Linked DNA regions of Rhinolophus ferrumequinum. The protein of the gene in region 1 purifies or fractionates together with the protein of each later gene. This does not show direct contact. Links are inferred from orthologs where the notes say so. Each region holds a gene or a part of one and is shown on either strand. Other genes may lie near its edges.

Region 1 (7,885 bases):
CACGATCTCCTAGAACTTGCAGTTTCTAAATCAACTAATAAAGTAGCCAGACCCCAACTCCTACCCGAGCCGGTCTCATTTGCACCCTGGGACCCAGCTTCGCCATCAGCACCGGGGCAGAGGCACTCACCCAGTCGCACGTATTCCGGGAAGGGCTCCTTGAAACGCAGCTCGTAGGGCAGAACGGCGAGTCGCCTGCGCGTGGCCTTGTCCCGAATCTCGCTGACCACATCCCGGATGGTGTAGATGTTCTTCCCAATGTCCTGCAGAGAGACCGGCCCGTCTCACAGCCGCCTGACCTCCCGCGCTCCAGCCCACACCCTGCTCCTCTCCACCGGAGCTCCCAGTACCTGCAGAGCCGCGTCCCGCAGGAAAGCCCCCGCATCAGCCACAACATGCTCCACGGCAGCCATGTTGGCCGAACCAGCTCCAAACACGCATGTGCACGGAGGTGGCGCTCACCACTACTTCCCATTCAGGGCGTCCGGGAGCCGGGAAGAGCAGCTGCGATTTAGCTGCGCCGCCTGGCGGCCGCACCCGCATCCCCCGACTCAGGACTACCCGCGCGCATGCGCGACGACGCCGGCAGCACAACCACGGGATGCGGGCACGGTTAAACCTTGGGGTACATCTAAGGAAATACGCTGCAGCACTCACTCCTTAGCTCCTTTTCCACTTTTAAGGGTGAAAGTTGTATATATTCTCATTGTTAAATCAGTCAATACACATAACCCAATTTAATGATCAAGGGATAGCTACAAGACAACTAGGCCCAGCTTAAGTGGTTGTGACTGAGATTAACACCCAGACAAACCAACTCGGAGCCTCTTTTTTACCCATTATGCTATACTGACTGCTGCTTACGTACCCCCACTTCCTTTTGAGTAACTTGAGGCCAAGTTACCTTAATATCCTTATTTACCTTAGTATCCTCGTTCCACTTCCCTAAGCAAGACACACACTTTGCTAGCAAATAATTCCTTGCTGAATCGAACTGAAGAGGGGTATTAGATGATTTCTGAATTCCCTTTCCAATCTGAGATTCCATCATTAGGAGAACTGGCCTATTATAAATTCATGCTGGTGAATTTCAGCTGAATGTTGACTTGAGTTTTCAGTAATCAGTTTTCAGAGATGTTGAGTTATTCCAAACCTCTGTGAAGTCTTCAATCCAGTCTTAGCCCTCCCTTCTAATTTATGCATCCTACTTCCAGAAATCCCTGAAGGTCCCCTTCAGTAGTTGCCCAAACCCCTTTCCCTTCCCTAGACATCTGTCTGAACTGTTCTTACTTAGTCTCCTCAACCTCCAGAGCCACTGGTTCCTGCCCTGCCTGCCCTGCCTAAAATAGCCTGATAGAAAGCTTTCTAATTTTCGAGTTCATCATGTCAATTTTCTGGTATTTTTTTCTTGCCTTCTCAGTTTCTCTGTAGAATTTGACATTGCAGCCCATCTCCTCTTTCTGGACTGTCTCTCCTTGCCTGACTTGGGTGATACTACAAGATTCTGGTCCCTTCCCTCCCTGATGGCTTCTCATCCTTCTTTACTGGACTCCCTTCTTCTGCCTTGCAAACCGGACCCCCTCCACAGAACTGTCTGGCCCCTTTGTCTCTCTAAACTCTCTCCTTCAGCAATACTATCTATCCTCAAGGCTTCAGTTATCACATTATAGGAATGCCTCCCAAATCTTTAGGTCTAATCCCTGTTTATTCCCTGTTTATATCATCTGAAAACTTTTGGCATCTTCACTTAGGAGGAAGGTTATGACTGAAGTAATTATCTCTCCCGCCCCAGCTTAAACTTTGTTCCAATACTAAGGTTTCTATTTTCATTAAAAGGCATTACCAACAAAGACATTCAAGGTAAGCATCTGAGTCACCTCATTTCCACCCTCTCTCTCAACCTGTGTTTCTCTTGCTAAACCTTATTGATGTCACTTCTGAAATGTATGGGGCGTCTGGGTCCCCTCTACATTCATTACTCTAATCAAGCTTTTTATCTCATGCCTAATAAATATAATACACTCAATGCTAGTATTCCTGTCTAATTTCTTCTTCAATTGATTGCTCATGTAGCCTAAAAAGCAAGGGAGGAACTAGAATCTGTAATAAAGAGGTTCATTGAACTTGGCAGCGATAATTGAGTAAACCCCACAAGGAAGAAGAATGATTTAGATCAGTGGTTCTCAGACTTGACTGTCAGAATCACCTGGGGAACCTGCAAACACAGCTTGATGGGTCTCACTCTCAGTTCCTGATTCAGTAGTTCTGGGCAGGGCCTGAGATTTTGTATTTCTAATAATTTCCAGGTGATACGGATGCTGCTCCTTTGGAGGACACGTTTGAGAACCACTGATTAGGGAAAAAGGAAAAGAATGATCAGGCTTTGAGCCATTTATTTTCTAGTAAATACTAAGAATACTTATTAATACACAGGCATATCTTGGAGATATTGCAGGTTCAGTTCCAGATCACTGAAATAAAGTGAGTACCATAATAAAGTGTTATAATTTTTTTGCTGATGGAAGGTCTTGCCTTCAATTTGTGAAAAATGCAGTATCTCTGCAGTGCAATAAAATGAAGAGCAATAAAATGAGACATGCCTCTAAAAGGTTTCTTGACACTTTGTAGCTTTTGTCATTTTTTAATAGAATTGAATCTCTTTTCTGTTTCTTTAGAACATTAGTCTCCAAGCCCCCTAAAGCCTTAGAAGGACTCTCACTTATTTAACAATTATGTATTGAGAACTAACTTATATCACCATAGGGTGGGTGACATGACAGCTATGAACAAAATCATATTTTCTGTAGCATCTAGGGACACCTTCAGAGTTTTTGACTTTGGAGATGGATCTGGAAGGATGAGTAGGGCAAAGCCATCAAGATAGGAAAGTCCAAGGGGTGTTCATGGAATTGAAGGTAGAGCCTATGGTAGGACATGGTGACTGGGGACAGGGTCTCTCAGAGGTGAAGTGAGCCCCGAAACACTTCACTGTTTTGAAGCTCCCGGTTTTTAAAAAGCAAAGAAATCTCACACGCTATTATGAAAATTGTGTTTACATGAACAAATTAACACTTTCAAGTACATGTAGAAGGAATCAATGTGTAACTCATTTGGAGATGTCAACTTTTACATGTGAAGAAACCCTTTATGAAAGAGAAGGTATTGCTTGTGTGCCAGTGAAGATCCGAGTTTGTTTCCAGGATTGAAATATGTAGAGGCTATGAGACTAAATGCTTAACAGGGGAGAGAGAACTTGATGCAGAAGAAACACTGTGAAATCAATAAATGTTCTTAGAATTCTTCTGGACTTTCCTGTCTCTGCCTTTGCCCTTGTTTTTTCTTATTCCTGAAAATTCTGCCTGCCAATCACTGCTTAGTTTCCAAAAATGGCCCATTGTCCCCTCTGTAAATTGGTCCCTGATTACCCAAATTAGATTTTTCCCCAAGGACAGATTTGAACTCTGCTTTTCCACCACATTTAAGACATTTCAGTTCTGTCACTCAGCGAGCAGTTATTATTTATGCTTTGCAATGTAGTTGTCTGTTGTCTTTAAGTAGGTTGGAAGTCAGGGAATGGGTTTTAGGGATCTTTATCCTTAAATGAAAAAAATCTCTTACACTGTAGGACCTACAGCAATGAGTTCAGTGCTCAATAAATATTGAAATGTATTCATTCAACAAATTATTTCAAGAGGCTTCCCGAGTTTGGAAGGTCTGTGGAGGGGGCCACGTCTCAGGGACCTGAGAGCAGCCTCTAGGAGCTGCATGTGGCCACAGACAACAGCTAGCAAGACCAAGGGACTCCGGTCCTCTGGCTACAAGGAAGTTAAATCTGCCAACAATATTAAGGAGCTTGAAAGCAGATCTTTCCCTAGTCAAGCCTCCAGCTGACGACGCCACCTTAATTTCAGCCTTGTGAGACGCTGAGCAAAGAACCTAGCTGTGCTGGCCTGGACTTCAGACCTGTGTGAGGTAAAAAATGGGTATTGTTTTAGCCACTACACTGGGATATAGCTCCTGCCTTCATAATTCTTGTAGTGAGAAATAGATTTTACATATGTATTTTATGTACATACGTACATACCTACACACATGCAAATATTCATACAAAAGTCAGATAGTGATAAGACTGGAGGAAATATGGAGGAAAAAATAAAGCAGGAAAAGGGGCCGGTAGGAGAGTATTTTTACTTGCTTCATCTGGCAACCCTATGCCTACTATGAGTCAGGCACTGTTGTAGGCTCTAGATACACAAAAATCCTTTCCTGATCACCCTATGTAAATTTCCTGATCATCCTATTTAAATTATTTTAAATTATTTTACATAGTGTGATCAGGAAAGGATTTTTGTGTATCTAAAGCCTACAACAGTGCCTGACTCATAGTAGGCATAAGGTTGCCAGATAAAGCAAGCAAACATACAGTATGGCCAATTAAATTTGATTTTCAGATAAACATTTTGTGTGTGTATAAATATGTCCCATGCACTATCTGGGACACACATATTACACGGTTGTTTATCTGAAATTCAAATTTAACCAGACGTCCTGTATTTTATCTGACAATCCCACTAAGGAGCTCAATAAATACTTGATGACTTAATTGTTGAGCGGCTTCCTCTCACCTGTATAGTGGGGCTAATGATAGACCCGCCTCCGGGGTTGTAGGTAGGAGTATATGAAACTCCTGACACTCAGTGAGCCCTCAATTTATTTGATTGCCTGGGAGCCGTCCAGCGAGTGGTAAACGCTCCCACTTACACATATAAAAGGGGTAAGAAGGCCTTCTCTCGGCCAAAGGCTCCCAGGCCAGGCCTAGGTTGCCTGCACCTGCGAGTCCGGCCAGCCTCTTCCGGGTCAGGTGACCGCAAGCGGGCACGTGACTCAGCCCGAGTGCGGGCGGTGGGAGGCGGAAGTGGGAGAGGAGTTGGGCGCGGATTCTGTGGCCGCGGCAGGTAGCGAGCGCGGGCGCGGGGGGCGAGGCGGACGCGCGGGGGGTGCGGGGCGGGCCAGGGGCTGCGGGCGGCTGGGGGTGGGCCGGGGGCGGTGCGGCCCGGGCGCCGGGGGGCGGTGGCTTCCTGTGGGAGGGGCCAGACGCGGCGGTTCCGGCCTCCGAGGAGGGGTGTCCCGGCTCCGGCTCTGGCGCGGTGGGCGCGCCGAGGGCTGTTCGCGGGGGTTGCTCTGAGATGGGCACGGAGGAGGCCAGGGGTGCGGTGGCGGACAGCAAGTCCCTCGGGAAGGAGAAGGGAGTTTAGGTGCCAGGGATAGAGAGGGGTGACCTTTGAGGAAGGGTCGGGACGGGAGGAAGGGGCAACTTGCGACTGAACTGGAAGGGGGAGCCTGATAATGGGCATAGGACATGGAGGGAAAGAAGGAGAATTCAGGAAGATGCTGCTTGAACCCCAGCTGAGTCTCTTCCTTCTTTCCTCGGGTTGCTACCCGAGACTTTGATTTCGGTCCCATTCAGTTTGTAAACTTTAGGATGGGTCACAGAATCTTTTCTTGCTTTCGTCACACGCACTTAGTCCTGCCTGGATAGGGTTTCCACTTCTTGGGAACCTAGCCCTTCTGATAATCTTTCTTTGAGGTTTTCCCAGGTTAGATCAACTTCTAGGCTGAAAAAAAAAAGTGTGGGCACTTTGGCCATAAAATGGCTTTTAGTTTAAACTGTTGCTCAGCAGTTACCTCAGCAACATAGCGACTGCTGAAACCTTGGACAGTGTCTACCTCTACAGCTTTATGACTTTTCCTCTTTCTTCAGTTTAAATTATTCAGCTTCTCTTACCATGTGACTGCTTATCTTGACAAACTGTAACTAGGTAGGGTAACTGAAAGGTCTGTGTTGTGTTCTTCAGAACGATGACCTAGATCGTGATTTTGAGATTAAACACCTGTGTGAAAAGCTGTTCATCGTCTTTTTCTTCGTGTTTACTAAAATTTGCAGCAATGAAATAAATTTCGTGAATGTGGTATCACTGGAGTGAATGTTCAAACTGGGCATTCACAGGAGCCAGAGTCATTTTGGGTGACAAGTAGGAAAAAAAAGTACTTTGCTAATGTATTATGATTGCAAGTTTTTGGAATATTTGACAGTTTAAAATTGATTTTTGTAGCAGCCCTGTGAGTTAGGTTGGGAAGGTGTTATTCTCATTTCACAATGAACAAACAGACCTAAGAGATGACTTCTTTTTTTTTTTTTAAACAATTTATTTATCTTGTTTACTGGTTTCTTTCTCCCTGCTAGACTGCAACCCCTCAAGTGCTGGGGTCATCTTATTCAGCTTACTTGGCTACTAGCCTAGTGCCTGGCATGTTGTGGGCACTGGGTAAATGAATAAATGAATTTCTAAAGGTTACGTGGATGTATGTGGAGGATAAGGGATTTGAACTCAGGACCTGGCTCTTCTCTTAGACAGACTTGCCATTTTCTGTTATTGGTCCATCTGAAGACCATAGGCCTGGGGAAAAGGTTTGGGTTAGCTCCTCAGTCTCTTACTTAACGACTACTTTCCATTTACAAAGACTTATAACCAGCATCTCATTTAATTCTCACCATGGTCCTGTAAAGGTTGGTATTGTCCTTATTCTACAGATGAAGAAACTGAGGCTTAGCAAAATTCTTGCTTTAGAGTCCAGAGCTACTGAATGAATGAGCAGGGACTCCAGCCCAGGGCTTTTATCCTTAGATCCACTCTTTTCCATTCATAGAAGCAATATAAAGTTTTATTTTAAAATATTTTTTCAAGTATAAAAAGCATGACATTTTAAGGAAAAAAAGCAGTATGTAGATCACAGCAAAAATTGTGAATGCAGAATGCAATTGAAGTTTAGAAAACTCTGTGCAGTGCTATAGCCGCCTTTTCCTGGGAAAGCATTCTTTAATTCAATGAATATATATAAGTGCCTACTTTACGCCAGGCATTGTTCTAGAGTTGCCTTGTCCAGTATGGTGGCCAGTTGCCACCTGGGACTGTTGAGCACTGAGAATATGCTATGAGTAGAAAATACACACCAGATTTTGAAGACTTAATATGGAAAAAAGATAAAATATCTCATTGATATTTTTTATATTAGAATAAATATCAATATCAATATATATAGTATAAATGATGACATTTTAAGTTTATTGGGTTAATCACAGTATTAATTGAAATTAAATTCACCTGTTTCTTTTTACTTTTTAAAATGTTTTCTGGAAAATTAAGAATTGTATTGCACAGTGCTGTTCTAAACACCGGTGAAAGAATATATGAGAAAGTCAAAAATCCCTGCCCTTGTGGACAGTAAATTTTAGTGGGGAAAGGCACAGTAAACAAAAGAATCCAGTAAAATGCATATTGTATTGTAATAAAGCAGGGAAGTAGGATGTGGAATGTTGGCTAGGGTGGCAGTTTTGAATTAGGGTCCTGAGAGAAGACTTCTTGAGAAAGTGATGGTTGAGTGAAGATCTGAAGGAGGTGAGGGAAGGAGCCATGTGGCTGAATGGGGACATAGTGGTCCAGGCAGAGGAAACAGCAAATTCAACAGCCTGAAAGACACAGCACCCCTGGCAGGTTTGTGGATCATCCAGGAGGCCAGCAGCTGCAGGGATATGAGTGAGACGGGATGGGGAAGATGAGTCAGAGAGGTGTTGGGGATAAGGAAAGAGATGGGCGGGTGGGGGAGAGCCTTGCAGGCCATTGTAAGGATGTTAGTTTTCACTCGGAGTGAGTTGGGACCATTGAGTTTTGAGCAGTGGAGTGGCCACCATCCATCCTGCCTTTTAACCGGGTCACTCTGGTTGCCATGCAGAGAAGGAGTAAAGAGGAGCAAGACGAAGTAGGGAGACACGTTCAGAGGTATTGCCAGGATCCAGGTGAAGGACGGCGTGGGTCGCGGTGATGGA
Region 2 (7,240 bases), on another chromosome or scaffold:
AATAGGGCCCTGTCTGTGATATGCAGAGCAACTCTGCCCAGATCTCTGGCCAACTCCTGAACCACATATGCAAGAGGCCAATTTTAAGAAGCTTCAGCTAGAAGAGCTGAATTGAAATCCCAGCTGCTACAGGGGAGACAGGGTTTTGCAACTTGAGGTCAGCTACTTAAAAGGCCTGAATAAAGAATAGTCAGTACTCATCAGAAGAGCATAATAGAATCCAGACTTTCTGCAACATATCATTCATAATCAGGATACAACTTATTCAATTTACAATGAAACAGGAAAATATGACTCATTTTAAAGAAAAAAAACAATCAACAGAGACCAAATCTGAAATCACCTAGATGATGGAATTAGCAGACAAGAATTTTAAAGAAGTTATTATAGATATACTCAAATATGTAAAGGAAAATATGTTCATAATGAAGATATAGAAAATCTTAGATGATAAATAAGCTATAAAAAAAACTAAGTGAAAGTATAAAAACTGAAAAACAAATAGCTGAAATGAAAATTTAGTGGACATATTTAAAAGCAGAAAGGAGATGAAAGAGCAAAAAGTCAGTGAACTAGAAAGTAGTCAACAGAAATGATCCAAACTGAAGAACAGAGATTTAATAAATGTACAGAGACTCATAGATCTTTGCAACAATATCAAAAAGTTTCATACATACATATATATATATGTATATAATGCAACTGGAGTCCCAGAAGATTTTATATTACATACATAAACACACACAGGGTGCCAAAAAAATGTATACACATTTTAAGAAAGGAAAAAACTGTATGAAAATTGTAATACTCAATATATACCGATAACAAAAGATGAATACAAGTCACGTTTGACTTCTGAGAATACAAGAGGTGCTCCAAGTGGTTACCATCAGCATAATTTTAATACAGTCTTTTTCTTTCTTAAAATGTGTATACATATTTTTTGGTACCGTACGTGTGTGTGCGCGCGTGTGTATACATACATATGTGTGTGTGTGTGTGTGTATATATATATATATATATATCTGGAGTCCCAGAAGGTTAGGAGAGAGAGAAAGAATGATGCAGAAAAGTATGTGACTAAATAATGGGTGAAAATTTCATAAATTTGGTAAAAAATTTAAAGTCTAAACAGACTCTTAAACCTCAATAAAGCAAAATTAATATAAAAACAAACAAAATAAAAGTAAAAGTATTTAGGCATATCATAGTCAAACTGCTGAAAATCAATGACAGAAAATCAATAAAAATGCTGAGAGAAGTTAAAGATGTAGATAAATAGGGAGATATACTAAATTAATGGATTGAAAGACTCAATGTTGTTGAGATGTCAATTACCAAATTGATTTACAGATTCAGTACAATCCTAGTCATACTCCTACTATGCTTTTTAGTCAAAATTGACAAGCTGATTCTAAAATTTCTATAGACATGCAAAGAATTTAGAATACTCAAGAAGTCTTGAAAAAAGAAATCAAGTTTGTAGACTTACACTGTTTGACTTCAAGACTTACCCTAAAGCTACAATAATCAAGACAGTGTGGTACTGACAGAGGATTAACAGAGTGACAAAATAAAGAACCCAGAAATAGACCCGCACTTACACATTTATTTTATTTTTGACAAAAGTGTCAAAGCAACCCAACTGGGAAAGGAAAGTCTTTTTAACAAATGGTGTTGAAATAATTACATATTTATATGGAAAAAAAACTAACCTTGCCCTACATCATATTATCCACAAAAATCAATTAGTGATGGACCATAGACGTAGAGAAAAGATCTAAAACTATAAAACTCCTAGAAGAAAACATGGGAGAATATTTTCATGACTGGGGGAAGACAAAAACCAAAAAAGAAAAAAGAAATTAGACTTAATCAAAATTAAACTTCTGGTCATCAGAAGAAACCTTATTAAGAAAATGTATAGGCAAGCCACAGGGCAGGAGAAAATACTTGCAAATTGTGTCTGACAAAGGACTGGTATCCTAGATATACTAAAACTCCTAAAACCCATGAATAAAATGACAAACAACTCAACTTAAAAATAGCCAAAAGATTTGAACAGAAGATAGTAAATGAATGGTTGATAAGCACATGAAAAAACATTCAACAGCTTTAGTAATTAAGGATATGCAAATGATGAGATACCACATACATTACCTGCATGGATGGTATTAGAAGGACAACAGATGTTGGAACGATGTAAATCAACTAAAACTTTGAAACATTGTTGGTAGGAGGCGAAAATGGTATGAGAACATTGGAAACAATATTTGTAAACAAATACTGAACTCTGGTTAATAACATTGAAATATTTAGGGGGAATGTATTAATATCTGCAGCTTACTTTGGAACACAATGAGAAAAGTAATTAAATGAGTTGCTGGATAGATAAAGAAATGGGTAGAGAATCAATATATGATAAAGCAAATATAATAAAAAACGTTAACTGAAAAAACTACATGAGTATATGGGTGTTCACTGTGAAATTCTTTCAATGCATCTCTTAAGTTTGAAAATTTTGTGATAGAATGTTGAAAACAAACGATAATTGAAGGTGCTTGGCAGATTGCCCATTATATGGAGTCTTGCCTTAGGAAAGGACATTAGAGTCTAGCTGATGTATAGGGGATCAGGGTAGGCAAAGGAGGCTTCTGGGTCCAGAAACTGCTTTTCTTTGTTCTACTCTCAAGGAACCTGGAGGCTGAGGCAAAGCAAAGAGCCAAGTTCCTCCTGCATTCCATAAGATTCAATGGCTGTGCTCTCTGTAATTGCCTTGTTTACCAGAGGGTGACTTTAAGAGTTCTCACCATATCTGTTCTAGAAATTGAACAGCAAGAGGCTGCCTGCCACTGTTTACTCTACCTGCTGAGCGCCTATGTGGGCTACTCTCTGTGCTAGGCTTTGAGGATACTGTGATCAAGTGAATAAAAATGGCCCCTGCCCTTTTATGGATCTTACTATTGATTAAACTTTGTTCCTCTTCTACTTTGATCATTCTTTACGCCCTGACCAGAAGACTTGCAGGTTCCTTTTATAAGCCATGTTGACATTTCTTAAATCTCTGAATTCAAAAACCCCTTTCTAATGTTGAAACTGCATACGTCTATCTAAACAGAAAGAGATGGTTTTTTCTTGTTTTCCTCTCTCTATTTGACACAAGAAGATCCCAGAGTCTCAAAATAGCTCAGCAAGAAACTGGACACATGCCTGTTGACCCAAAGTCCCCGTGTACTCTGCTGAAGTAGAGGTGTGAGGGAAAGGGCGCTGGGTCACTAAGCTTGACTGTCTGCCTGCCCCACTTTCAACAGAGGTCACACGCATTATCCTTCTCTGCCCTGGCACCACAGCCAGAAAGCCTGCCCAAAGTCTAGCCCAAGGTTGTGGCATCAGGGAGAGGTGCCTGGCTTCGTGGGTAGCTTGACGTGACTTTGAATCCCTGGTTATACATCCAGTTGCTCCAGCCTCCCCTTTAACATACAAAAGAGAAAATTCCTTACTGAAACATCTCTTGTCGTAAACCATCTTGGGAAAGGTGAGCATGTTTTGAGCTGATATAACATTAGCTCATAATATTATAAATGACCCCAAATTGGTTAAGTGGTACTTTTTATAGTCAATAAAAAGAAAATAAAAATGAGTTGCCTTCTTAGAAAGGCTGTCACAATTTCTTTCCATACATTGACTGATCCCCTGTGCTTACCTGACCACCTTCTCTGCAAAGACTGTCACCTGTTTGTCACCTTTGTATGCTTATAAATCTACCAGCTCTGAAAAATTCTTAGCAAGGTGATCGTTTCCAGCTTCTTATGCCCCTTGTCCAGACTGAAATAACTTTGCTTCTTTTCTCTCCCCGCTTCCTGCAAAAATTTATCTCTCAGGAATTTAAATACCTGTTTTCTTTCCCTAGAAGCTGTTTTTCAGACAGTTGGATTCCTGGGAGATAATGATACGACTCAGGAACTAAGTCTTAAGTGGTTTTTCTATCCCGGTGCCGCCCATTTCAGGCGATTGGTGCTTCAGGACTTTCTGAAGCTCTTTGAAAACAACAGGGCTAGTCAGATTCCAGTGATTTACCTTCTGGAGGCTGAGCGTGTCTGGGCAGCGGCTGCATAATTTGGATGGAGTCATCACTGATGAGGCAGAGTTGGCTCACTCAGGGAGCACTCGTTGCTCTTTTAAACTCCACGGCACTCGGGATGAAGTCACCTTTCTTCTTTTAAAACCAACAGATTTGCCCTCTGAGTCCCTGTCACTTCTGTTAGAAGTTGGTGTTTTTTTCCACTGCCGATCACTGGGACCTTCTCTCAGGTAAGGAAGCTCTTATTTAGTGGGTTTCCATCCAGGAAAGCTTGGTTTGAGGGGAAGTGTTTTGGGCATCTCTGGGTAAAGTTGGAGTCAGGTTAGGAGACAATCGATTGTCTGAGGAGTACGGCTGGTTCCCAGGCAGCTGGTGTCCACCTGGTGGGCTGGCAGGACTTGGGCTGGGTGAGCAGAGCTCAGGGGCAGTGGCGAGTTCTCACAGTGGGCATGAAAACTGAATCTCGGCTTGGTTTCAGGTGCCTGTTCTAAGAGTTGTGTAACCAGCATGTTGGTGAAGCACCTACAGGTGGTCTCCTCTGGGTGGGGGCTGTCTTACCCCCTTTGCCTTCCTATCTACTGGCTTTGTGTTTTGCGTGGAACTCTCATAGGGTCTCATGACAAAAGTTGAGGTGCCGAAATGCAGCAGCTCTCTGGAGAGCCTTCATGTGCTCATTTGCTGGCTTGAACACTTCCCGTCTTCCTCAGAGTATAGCAGGAGGCAATCTTGTCCTGACATGTAGGCACCTTGTGTGAACAATGGCTGTGCTGCTATGTGGGGCAGAAATGTGCAAACACGTCTTCGTGCCTGTCCATACAAGTTCTAAGAAAATGAACATGAGTTTGTGTGTGTGTGTGTGTGTGTGTGTGTGTGTGTGTGCGTGTGCAGGCAGGTCTGAGGTCCTAGGGTTACTTCCCTGCAACGTTTTCTGTGAGTTATTTGAGTCGTAGTCGCTGATTGAATCATATAGCTCTTATTAGCTTTGAAAAGCTCAATAAAGACATCTTGGTTATGACAGAGGGGACTACGGGGTGATAAATGGCTTTTGGAGAGAGTTGAATCACTGTGAAGTGAAAACATAGAGAACTGTAAGGCCCTGTATTAGCTGACACAAAACCCTACTACATAGTATTCAGTTCGTTCATCCTTAACCTCTGAAGGGAGCAAGAATCTCATTAGACAAGAGAAGCTTGTTTTGTTTTAAATACAATTACATACTGCCTGCCAGCGTTTGTTGACACGTGCACCTCATACTTCGCTTGTCCAGAATTCATTCTTACCTGAAATCTGCTCCTCGTTCTGTGTCCCTACCTCAGTAAAAAGCACCTGGTTGTCAATAACAGATTTCTGGACTTCACCTTTGACCCCTCTTTTGTCCTCACATTCCCTCATCTAGTTTGGCAGCACATCCAGCAGATCTGCCTCTATGTTGTCTCTCAAATCCATGCATTCTCCCACTTCCATGGCTATTTTCCTAACTAAGTTCTTATCATCTTTTCCCAGGAGGTTTCCAGAAACCTCCCATCCAGGTTTCCTCTCTTCAGTCTTACTTTCCTGGTGCAGCGAGGTGATTCCACCTGTACAATCCAATCAATCACTAGTCTGCTGATTCTGTCTTAATATCGCTCAAAATTTTCACATCTATCCATCCCACCATTACTACCTTGGTCCAACCCACCAACACTCTTTGTTTGAGTTATTGCAATAGCCTTTTGGTTGACTTCTCTGCTACTAGGCTCACTCTCTTCCCAATATAAGATGTTTTGAGCTTCTTATCTTCCCAAGCTTTTAAAGGACGTTCTTTTTCTCTCTCTCTCTCTCTTTTTTTTTTTACAAGAGCAGAACTTGAAACACCTGTTTCCCTATCACGTTTAGAAGCATCAACATTTTTATGACTCTTGTAGATACTTCAAGGAGGGAAGCAGAGAGAATGGGGGCTGGTGGGGGATGTGTATTGCAGTGGGAAGATGGCCTGAGGAATGCATGAAGTTCAGGCCTTAGAACCAGGCAGGTCTACATTTGAATCCCAGTTCCTCCACTTCCTAGTGTGGCCTTGACCAGATGGCTACACCGTCTGGAGACACATTTTCCCGAACTGTGAAATGGAAATAAGAATGTCTACTTTTCTGGGTGAAGACAAGAGTTAAATGAGAACATTTATGAAATGCTCTGAAACATAGCAATTAAGAATGTTTAGTTCCTCTCCTTCTTCCCTTCCCTTTTAAGGTTTATAATCTCTAATCATCACATATCTTGTAAGTATGTGTGTATGTATAATTATCTGTTTTTGGCATGGTAGGAAGAAAGAGTGGCAAAAAATACACAGAACTCTCTTAAGGAATTTGCAGTTTACTTAAGGTGGTAAAGCAAACCCAAAGAGTATATAAACACCTATAAAACAAGCGTTCTGCCATTGTCATGTGGACAGTACCAGCTGAGTACATAAGCAGGGAGGGCCTGAGTAAACCGGTCTGTGAATACCTGCAGACAGAGTGTAAATAGATCTACATCAGGCAAATTCAGATTTAGGCTTTTTGAGGACTTAAAAATCATTGACCTCTCTGATGATGAAATAAAACTTCCCAGGTTTTATACTTTTAGGGTGACTTAAGGACATACAGATTAGTGCTTATGTGAATTTACTCATTCATTCATTCATCAAGGATTTATTAAGCACTGATTCTGTGCCGGGTCCTATATTATACAATTTCTTTACTATTCTTCCATGGGACATGGATGAGATCATTCTCCTCCTCTTGAATTGGGGCTAGCCTTAAGGACTTGTTTGGCCAATAGAATAAGAAGAAAGTGACGTTTGGGGACACCCAAATAAGTTCTAAGAAGCTTTGCTGCTTCCTCCTGAATTTCTTGGCCCTAAAGCCTATTTTAACTCTGGGGAAGCCAGCCACCATGTAAAGTCATGTGCTGGTAACATGGCTTTCTGGAGGGAAAACAAAGAAACCCTGATTTGTAGCGTTTTCCCATTGTCATGGTAAAAATACTCCCTCTCATCATGGCTGATTTCAAGCTACCAAAGTGACAACACTGAACGCAGGTTGGCAAGAAATACAGAGAATCAGCTCTTACACATTGGTACAAGCAAGCCCCAGCACATGACTGCCAATTACTCTGAGACCACCATACTGTGAGAAAGCCCAA
Region 3 (7,782 bases), on another chromosome or scaffold:
TCGGATCTACTCTTTCTCTCTGATTGCTCAAAATTCTTCCCACTTTTTTCCCTTTCTCTCCTATCAAATTCCATTCTTTCACTGTAAGTCATCACCTCAGCTAGGCTTTTGTAAGAAAGTTATTTGGAACAAATTCACACTCATGTGTAAATGACTGATAGGCCACAAGCCTTCTAGAAGGACCTATGGTCTCCAAGGAAGATCCGGGTTAACCAAATAATTTTATTGGTGGAATCTCAGCCAATATGTCAAAGGGAAGTGAAATAAGTCAAGCGGGGAGGGAAAGATGTTTTAAATCTTGTTTAAGATTCTGTCTTCTAAACTGAGAGGAGGGGGCCTCAGCTACGTAGTCTCTACCAAAGATCAGTACATGTGATCTTTCGAGGACTTTTTTGTTCTGGTTTGTGAGTTTATTCATAGGAAAAGTCATAAAAAGATGTTATTCAATCACAATAATATTCATTAAATTTGCTAATTAAAAAGTAAAATTAAATGAAATAAAAAAATATCAAACATTTAATAATGTTTTTTTCCTAAATGATCTCCCACACTATCAAAAAGATCATAAAACACTGTGGTGGCCTGATAAAAGAGATTTGTCACCAAACAACACTCAACCATGTGAAAGACTGAAAAGAAAAAAATTCTTTCAATTTGAACCTTATTTGGCTGGGATTTTTCTCACCAGAGTCTTCCTATTTTTTTTCCATGGGCAACTGCCCTCTTGATTAATCCCATTTCCCTCAGTCTTAGTTTTTCCAAGCAGCTGAGCAAACAAAGATGCAGGCGGCCATTTTAACGTGCTTCCTCTCTCCAGCCCTCTGGGATGGGCCGGCTGTTCATCCTGTTCATAAACCAACAGCCTGAATGTGCTTGGAGAAAGCAGCAAGGATCTTCTGTCAGGATTAATTTTAATAGGCCACAGTCTGTCACCTGGGAACCATAGCTCTGGCAAATGGCTTTAAATTACTATTTGCTGATAAAGAGTGAGATATGAGCTGAAAATTTGGTCCCTCATTTTAAACAGTTTGGATAACTAATGCAAGAATTTACTTTCAGTGTAGAGTACATGTTCTTTACAGCCTGAATCCTTGAGTAGCTGAGGAAAACCTTTTGTTGCAGTGGGGTCACAGTGAAATACAAAGAGGGGAAATGTGACATTTTATAGAAGTGTAGAATTTTAGAGCTGGGAGGGAAATGAAGAATTTGTGAATTCCTCAGCACAAAGCTTCCTCCGAAGCTTTCTGTTTCTGATTTCTGTGTAGAGAAATGTTATCCCTCTTACTATCCCTTCCATTTTTTTGTCTTCCTCTTCACCAATTCCTTTCTCTCTCCTTTTTCTTTTTTTCACTTTGTTGATCTCATATCCAGTTCCAACTCCCTGTTACCTTCCTTACTTTCTCTTCCCTAACTTGCCAGGCTCCTGTCAGTTATTTGTGAAGTTCTGCACTGATGGACAGAAAAGGCAGCAGGGTGAAGTAGGGCTAGTCCCCTCTGTGAAGTAGGGATAGTCCCCAGTGCTCTGTTCATCTGAGAAAGCAGTGAGTGAAAGGAGTGACTGGAAGAGGAGGTTTGGTAAATGGTACACAGATGTCAGCCATTATTGTTTAATAAAGTCTTAGGCTACCATTCTTTATTAAGTTTCCAGTAGCTATGGCTGCTATGGTTTGTTTGAAAGTTCAGCATGTTCCATTCCCAAAAGGATGTTTAAAAAACACACCAAAGAAAATAGAATTTTCTTCGAATTTGTTTATGACCCTTGGTTCCCATCTCTTCTCCATGTGGCCAGCAGACCAAAAGGTAGCCTTCCCTCTCCTCAGTCGGCTCTATCACCTTGAAGTCCAGACATCAATCAAGCCTTGATTTTCCTAACACATTAGTGCTATTGGACTCTCTTATTAGTCAGGGTTCTTCAAAGAAAAAGATCCAATAGGATGTGTCTATGTGTGTGTGTGTATAATCATATGAGCCAATTTCTTAAAATACATTTCATTTTAAGGACTTGGTTCATGTGATTATCAATGCAGGATAGACCAGCAGGCAGGAAATCCAGGGGAGAACCACTGTTGCAGTGCAAGTATGAAGGCTGTCTGCTGGCAGAATTCCTTCTGTTCGTGGGAGGTCAGTCTTTGTTGTAGTAAAGGCTTAATTGATAGGAAGAGGTCCACCTACATTATGGCAGGTAATCTACTTTACTGAAAGTCCACTGATTTGAATGCAAATCTCATCCAAAAAATACTTTCACAGAAACACCTAGAATGTTTGGCCAAATATCTGGGCACTGTGACCTAGGCAAGTTGACATGTAAGATTAACCATCACAGACTCCTTTGCTGATAATCATTGTTCCTAATGAACCTGTCTGGTTCTGATATCTGCCTATCCTCTCTTTTAAATTCTCTTTTGGGATGAACCTCCCACTAACCATTATTCTGCTGCCAAGTTCCGCTACTTGGCAGGAATCAGGCTAAATTTTTCATTTACACTTGCCTCACATGTCACAGCTAATATGACCACACACCACTGCCACCCTGGGCATTTCTAATCAGAGAGCCCGGGCATGCTTCTGCCTGGCCCCCTGTGGTACTCCCTTCCTACCCTCCAATGATCCCTACATGGTGGCAAGACCACCTCTGAATGCTGAGAGGCCCAACAAATGTGGAATCGAACACTTCCAGTCTTTACTACATTGATATTGGTGTTTCCCACATCAGTATTCCAAGTGAGGAAAGCAAAATTAGATATTTTTAAGGGCAGCTTAGGCTACAGGCAGGAAGATCTTTTAGGAGCTATTATAGTAGTTCACTCAAGGGCTTGGACAAAGACAATGGAGGCAACAATGGGTGTATGGGGAAGTGCTGAAAGGGTGGCAAGAGGGAGAGTGTACAGAAAAGAAGGTACTTGGGCTGTAGGATTTCGTAATCAGTTAGGTGGAGGGAAAAAGAATAGTCAGGTATGAATATCTAGTTTCTTGTTTGGACAACTATGTGGATGGTCTTGCCATTAAACAGTGAGAATTTTAAAAACAAAGAGTGGGTTAGGGGAGGAAATTTTTAGTTTCGAACAAGTTGAAGCTGAGAAATCTTAGGGATATCCAGGTGGTAAGGTCCTTACCCTGACTCTAGTTCTAGCCCCAGAACAAATACTCCAGATTTGAAACTCCTGGAAAGATTGGTAACATGGAATTCATGGTATGAGTGACTTTTGAGAAAATGGTCAACAGGATCAGATGCAGCAAGGAGAAAGACTAAAATCTGTCCCTTGGGTTTGGCAACCAGGAGAGGGTTCATGGCACTGGTGAGAGTGGTGAAGATCTGCCGGAGAGTAAGTCTTTCAGGAAGCTAATCTCTGAAGAGAGGGGCACTTTTTACATCTTTATTGGGGGGTATAACTGACATGCTATAGACATTGGACATATTTTAAATATACAATGCAATAAGTTGTGACTAGCTAAGTCCAAGGCCTTATTCAAGTATTTATTTAGCTAGGGCTGGAGCAGGCTATTGAAGTCCTTGAAAGCAGGGTTTAAGTTGAGAATTTTTATACATTAGTTAATCTCATCAGAATGGACAAGATTGGGAGGACACAGAAATGGCTTCAGCCATGCTCCCTGAAGTAGCTTCAGATTTTTTTCTAGAGCTTCTCTAGTTAGGAGGGATTGCTTTTGTCTATTATAGCACCTTACATTGAATTTAGAAAATTAAAGTTTCCATATCAAAGAATGGGGAGGCAGTGTTGGAAGTTATGGGGGCATTCATACCTCCCAATTGATATCTACTGTGTCTCTTTCATGCTTCTTCCTTTTTCCTTTGGGACCCAACTCTGGTAGCTGAACTATAAAGAATAGGTTAGAGCTGGGTGCGATGCTTATTACGCTGCCTTCCTCTTCTCAACAGCCTTAAAAAAAACTTTTCAACAATTTTAAACACTTGGAAATAGGCATACAGTGAAAACGGAGACTTACAAATTGGTGTCCTAAAAAGAGCAGGTGGGCATTTGAATTTGAACTCTAGTGTTTTCACTTAACTAGTTTTGTGCGCCGGGAATATTTACTTCAGTTTCTGTGCCTTTGTTTTTCTATAGGCAAAATCTGAAATTGTGAAAGAGAGGTTCTCAAGCCAGACATCAACTATCTTGCAATGCCTGAGGCAGTACTGCCCATGATTAAAGTCCAGCTCCAAATGCCAGAGCCCCATGAAGGAACGCTGATGGTCCCTAAGGGTCCTTTCAACTTTAACTTTTGAAAACATCGCAGCCTTGGGTTAAGGAGGCGCCACATCATAGACCAGGGCCTCCCAAGCCTCGTCCTGCACGTTACCCCAGCCTCTCACCAAAGGCTAACTCGTCACTCAGGTTTCGACCTACATTTCACTTCTTAGAAACACCTTCTTTGGTCCTCACACCAATCTTACTATTAATATTGTTTTATTATTACTTGATTAATGTCTGCCCCCTCCACCAATCGGTAAACTCCGTAATAGCAGGGGCTGTGGCGATTTGTTGAGGTCACGGTGGCACTCAGTAAATACTTTTTAAATCAACAAATGAGGGGATGAACAGAGAAACGACAAACGGCGCGAACGCACGCCCCACCGGGGCGTGACGTCACCCGCCGTAACTTCCGCTCCTCCGGGCGCCCCCTTCTCCTTGTCCGTGTTTATTTCCGGCGTTTCAATAAAGCTCGATTCGGCTCGAAGAAGACCTGTCCTTCCGGGAAAATGGCGGCTCCCGCTCGTGCTCCGCAGTCCCCGCCGGCCGCAGATCCGGTGCTAGCGGCGGGAGCTGCCGAGGAAGCCGAGTGCCCGCCGCCTCGCCAGCCTCAGCCCCCGCAGAATGTCCTCGCAGCGCCGCGGCTTCGAGCCCCAAGCTCCCGAGGGCTTGGGGCAGCGGAGTTTGGCGGAGCTGCGGGAGATGTTGAAGCGCCAGGAGAGACTTTTGCGCAACGAGTAAGCTGGGGTCCCGCCGAGTCACCGCCAGGCTCCTCCGGTTCAGGTTCCCAGGGACGCACCTCCCCCCGCCCCCCACCCCGTTCCCTTCCCCGGAAGGTGACCTTGTCTCAGACAGCTCCGTTCCAGCCCCGCGGGCGAGCGGACGGCCTGCAGCCGCCAAGCCGTGCGCGTTCTGGCCTGGCGCGGCCCGCCTGTGGGGGCGGCTCGCTGCGGAACGGCGCTTCAGGGTATCAGCTCTTCTTTAGCTCCTCGTTGGTGTATTGACTCAGCTACCGAGTCGGTTCCCTGAAGGGCGGGTCTGTACCTCGATCCTTTTGTTCCCCACCCCCGCCCCCATAGCGTGCCCAAAACAGCCTGTCAGTTTCATCCCTAGGGACTATTTTTATAGGAACCGTTGGAAATGGAAAGAGTGGGATTGAGGAGTGGTTTATTAGGCAGAAAAAGTTGAACTTTCATTCGTTGGCAGACAATGCGCTTTAGCAGGGAAACGATATGATGAAAGTGATTTATTTTAGGAAGCCTAATTTAGCAGCTTGGTGCAAGATGCTTTGAAGGAGTAAGAGGCAGAAGACAGTAGGAAGATATTTTCAAAGAGTTTGCCAACAAGGAGTTTGTAAGAAAGTGAACTATAAAAGTAGTTGAGGAGTTGGGGAACTTCATCAGACTTGGAATAATTTGAATAGGTTGTTGACAGGTGGCTGAGGATTGCGGCCTGTATGGAGAACTATTAACCACAGGAAAATTGGGGGAGGGGAATAGATTCCAGGTTGACTTGACTTAGGGCGTGCTGAGTTGAAGGGAGAGTTAATTATATCTAGTTAAAAGCTGGAGAAATGGTCATGAGGCTCGAGAGAGGAGAAAGCTTGGAAAATAGAGGAATCTCAACTGGAGGGGATGTTATCAATTGAAACTGTGGGAATGAAAGTAGTTTCCGAGGAAGAATAGAGGGCCTGACATGTAACCTTCCCTCCCCATTGTATGGCTAAAGACAGGGGAATCAGAAAAGGAACTCTGTCCCTCAGCAAATAGGACACATGATCGTTTGGGGGCTTCCTAGTACAAGCAAATATTTTGACTTTGTGAGAATGGATTTTTAATTTGTAACAGCGAATTAACTTGGTGTCAGGACTCCTTTCTATGCGTAAGTCTTATTGAGTATTCTAAAGAATTCTTGTTTTATGTGTGTTATATCTGTGGACATTTGTCAATGTATTAGGAATTACAAGTGAGAAATCGTAAGCACAAGAAAACACAAGTTCATACATTCTGTTAGCCAGCAGAGCAATGGTAATCACATGTCCTGTGGCCTCAGGAAAACTCCACTCACCCATGTGAAAAAAGGAGAGTGAAAATTGGTAAATAGTGTCTTAGTATTACTACGAAAATACTTTTGACCTTATAGACCCATTCACCTCCTCTCCCCAGGAAGGCCTTAGAGATCATACGTTAAAAACTGGTGACTTCTGGGATGTCTCACATGAGTATTATATGCTTAAAATACTTTTGCTGAAATTCTAATTAGAGGAGACAAATGAGGCACATTCCCTATTCTTCCTTGATCTGCTTGTTTTTTGGGGGCGGGTATTTGGATAATGACTGTCTTATTTCATTCATGTTTCGGGGCAGTTGGAAATCAGATTTTTGACTTACAGATTGATTTTTCTCCCTTTGAAGATAGTGCTTTGTCATTATATCTCAAGTTTAAAAACATGGCTCTAATGTATATGTGTTTTTTTTCCATTTGACAGAAAATTCATTTGCAAATTGCCCGACAAAGGTAAAAAGATCTTAGACTCTGTTGCCAAACTGAAAGCTGCCATTGCAGAACGTGAAGAAGTTATGGAAAAAAGTGAACTGTTTCATCCTGTTAGTTTAGACTGTAAACTAAGGCAAAAAGCAATTGCCATTGTTGAGATGGACACGGATAAATTCCAGAATTCTGACAAGATACTTGATACTTCATCACGAGTTCCTGGCTGTTCCTCTGTAGATAACATCACATCATCTGAAACAACCTCACAACAACAAGGACTTGTATCTTCTACCCAGAAAGGCGATGAAGAGGCCCCAGAGTTGGGGTACACGGTGAACAAGCGCCCAGCCCCCAGCAACAGAGCCCATGCACCTTCCTTATCCGAAGCTAGTGGTCATCTCCCTCAGCATCGAGTGTCAAGTCGAGCAGAAGATAATTCTAGCAGCTCTGACAGCTCGTTTATTGATAGGTTACAAAGGATCACAATTACAGACCGAGGTGAACACCACTCAGAAGAAAACGGGAGTACTGAGAACTTGACAGGCCTTTGTAGTGAGATGCAGAAGAAGCCTCATTACATGGAAGTGCTAGATATGCGAGCCAAATACCCAGTGCCCTCGCCACATAAATTTAAAACCAATGTGTAAGTACCATCAAAAACAGGCCAGTCACAGGAACATACTATTTGTTAAACTCAAAAAATTGGGAGAATGCTTTAAGTTCAGTGGACTTTGTGTGAGAACTACTTGTAGTGGGGAATGAGCATATGTGGAAAACAGTGAGACCAGCCTGACTGGAGTGGAGGATTCATGTTGAAAAATACTTTAATATTTAGCCAAATAATTGAAAAGGTTTTAAATAGCAAGTGGAGTATTAAATTTCAGGACACTTAGTCAGTATTTCATAATAAACACAGAGAATTTACTGTGACTCCTTTTTTCCCAGAATCATTTTCAGGTATGCAGTTCCCCCTTTGATTAGACTGTCAGCTAAGGAAAAAGGAATTGTAGGAGCTGGTAGACTTTCGCAGCAAAAAATATTTGTGTGCTCACTTTCTGTGTAAGCAGCAGGTGCTACGGTG

Evidence for each region.
Region 2: the proteins of WWP2 (region 1) and AMOTL1 purify together in Homo sapiens (affinity purification with mass spectrometry; 3 studies listed by BioGRID and IntAct, counting the BioPlex papers as one, with this or other methods). This does not show direct contact. The link is inferred for Rhinolophus ferrumequinum from reciprocal best matches to the Homo sapiens genes WWP2 and AMOTL1.
Region 3: the proteins of WWP2 (region 1) and POLR2M purify together in Homo sapiens (affinity purification with mass spectrometry, with the first as the bait; 3 studies listed by BioGRID). This does not show direct contact. The link is inferred for Rhinolophus ferrumequinum from reciprocal best matches to the Homo sapiens genes WWP2 and POLR2M.

Annotation. Positions count from the first base shown.
Region 1 is NC_046298.1:18,773,892-18,781,776, forward strand, and holds the start of WWP2 (NEDD4-like E3 ubiquitin-protein ligase WWP2), read left to right. Parts: upstream 1-4,871; 5' UTR 4,872-4,955; intron 4,956-5,126; exon of another isoform or gene 5,127-5,147; intron 5,148-7,885. Other genes in the region: RNA-binding protein NOB1, read right to left, coding at 131-263, 351-413. UniProt on the Homo sapiens protein: E3 ubiquitin-protein ligase which accepts ubiquitin from an E2 ubiquitin-conjugating enzyme in the form of a thioester and then directly transfers the ubiquitin to targeted substrates.
Region 2 is NC_046294.1:65,529,893-65,537,132, forward strand, and holds the start of AMOTL1 (angiomotin-like protein 1), read left to right. Parts: upstream 1-4,138; 5' UTR 4,139-4,311; intron 4,312-7,240. UniProt on the Homo sapiens protein: Inhibits the Wnt/beta-catenin signaling pathway, probably by recruiting CTNNB1 to recycling endosomes and hence preventing its translocation to the nucleus.
Region 3 is NC_046289.1:51,654,112-51,661,893, reverse strand, and holds the start of POLR2M (protein GRINL1A), read left to right. Parts: upstream 1-4,680; 5' UTR 4,681-4,832; coding exon 4,833-4,945; intron 4,946-6,696; coding exon 6,697-7,344; intron 7,345-7,782.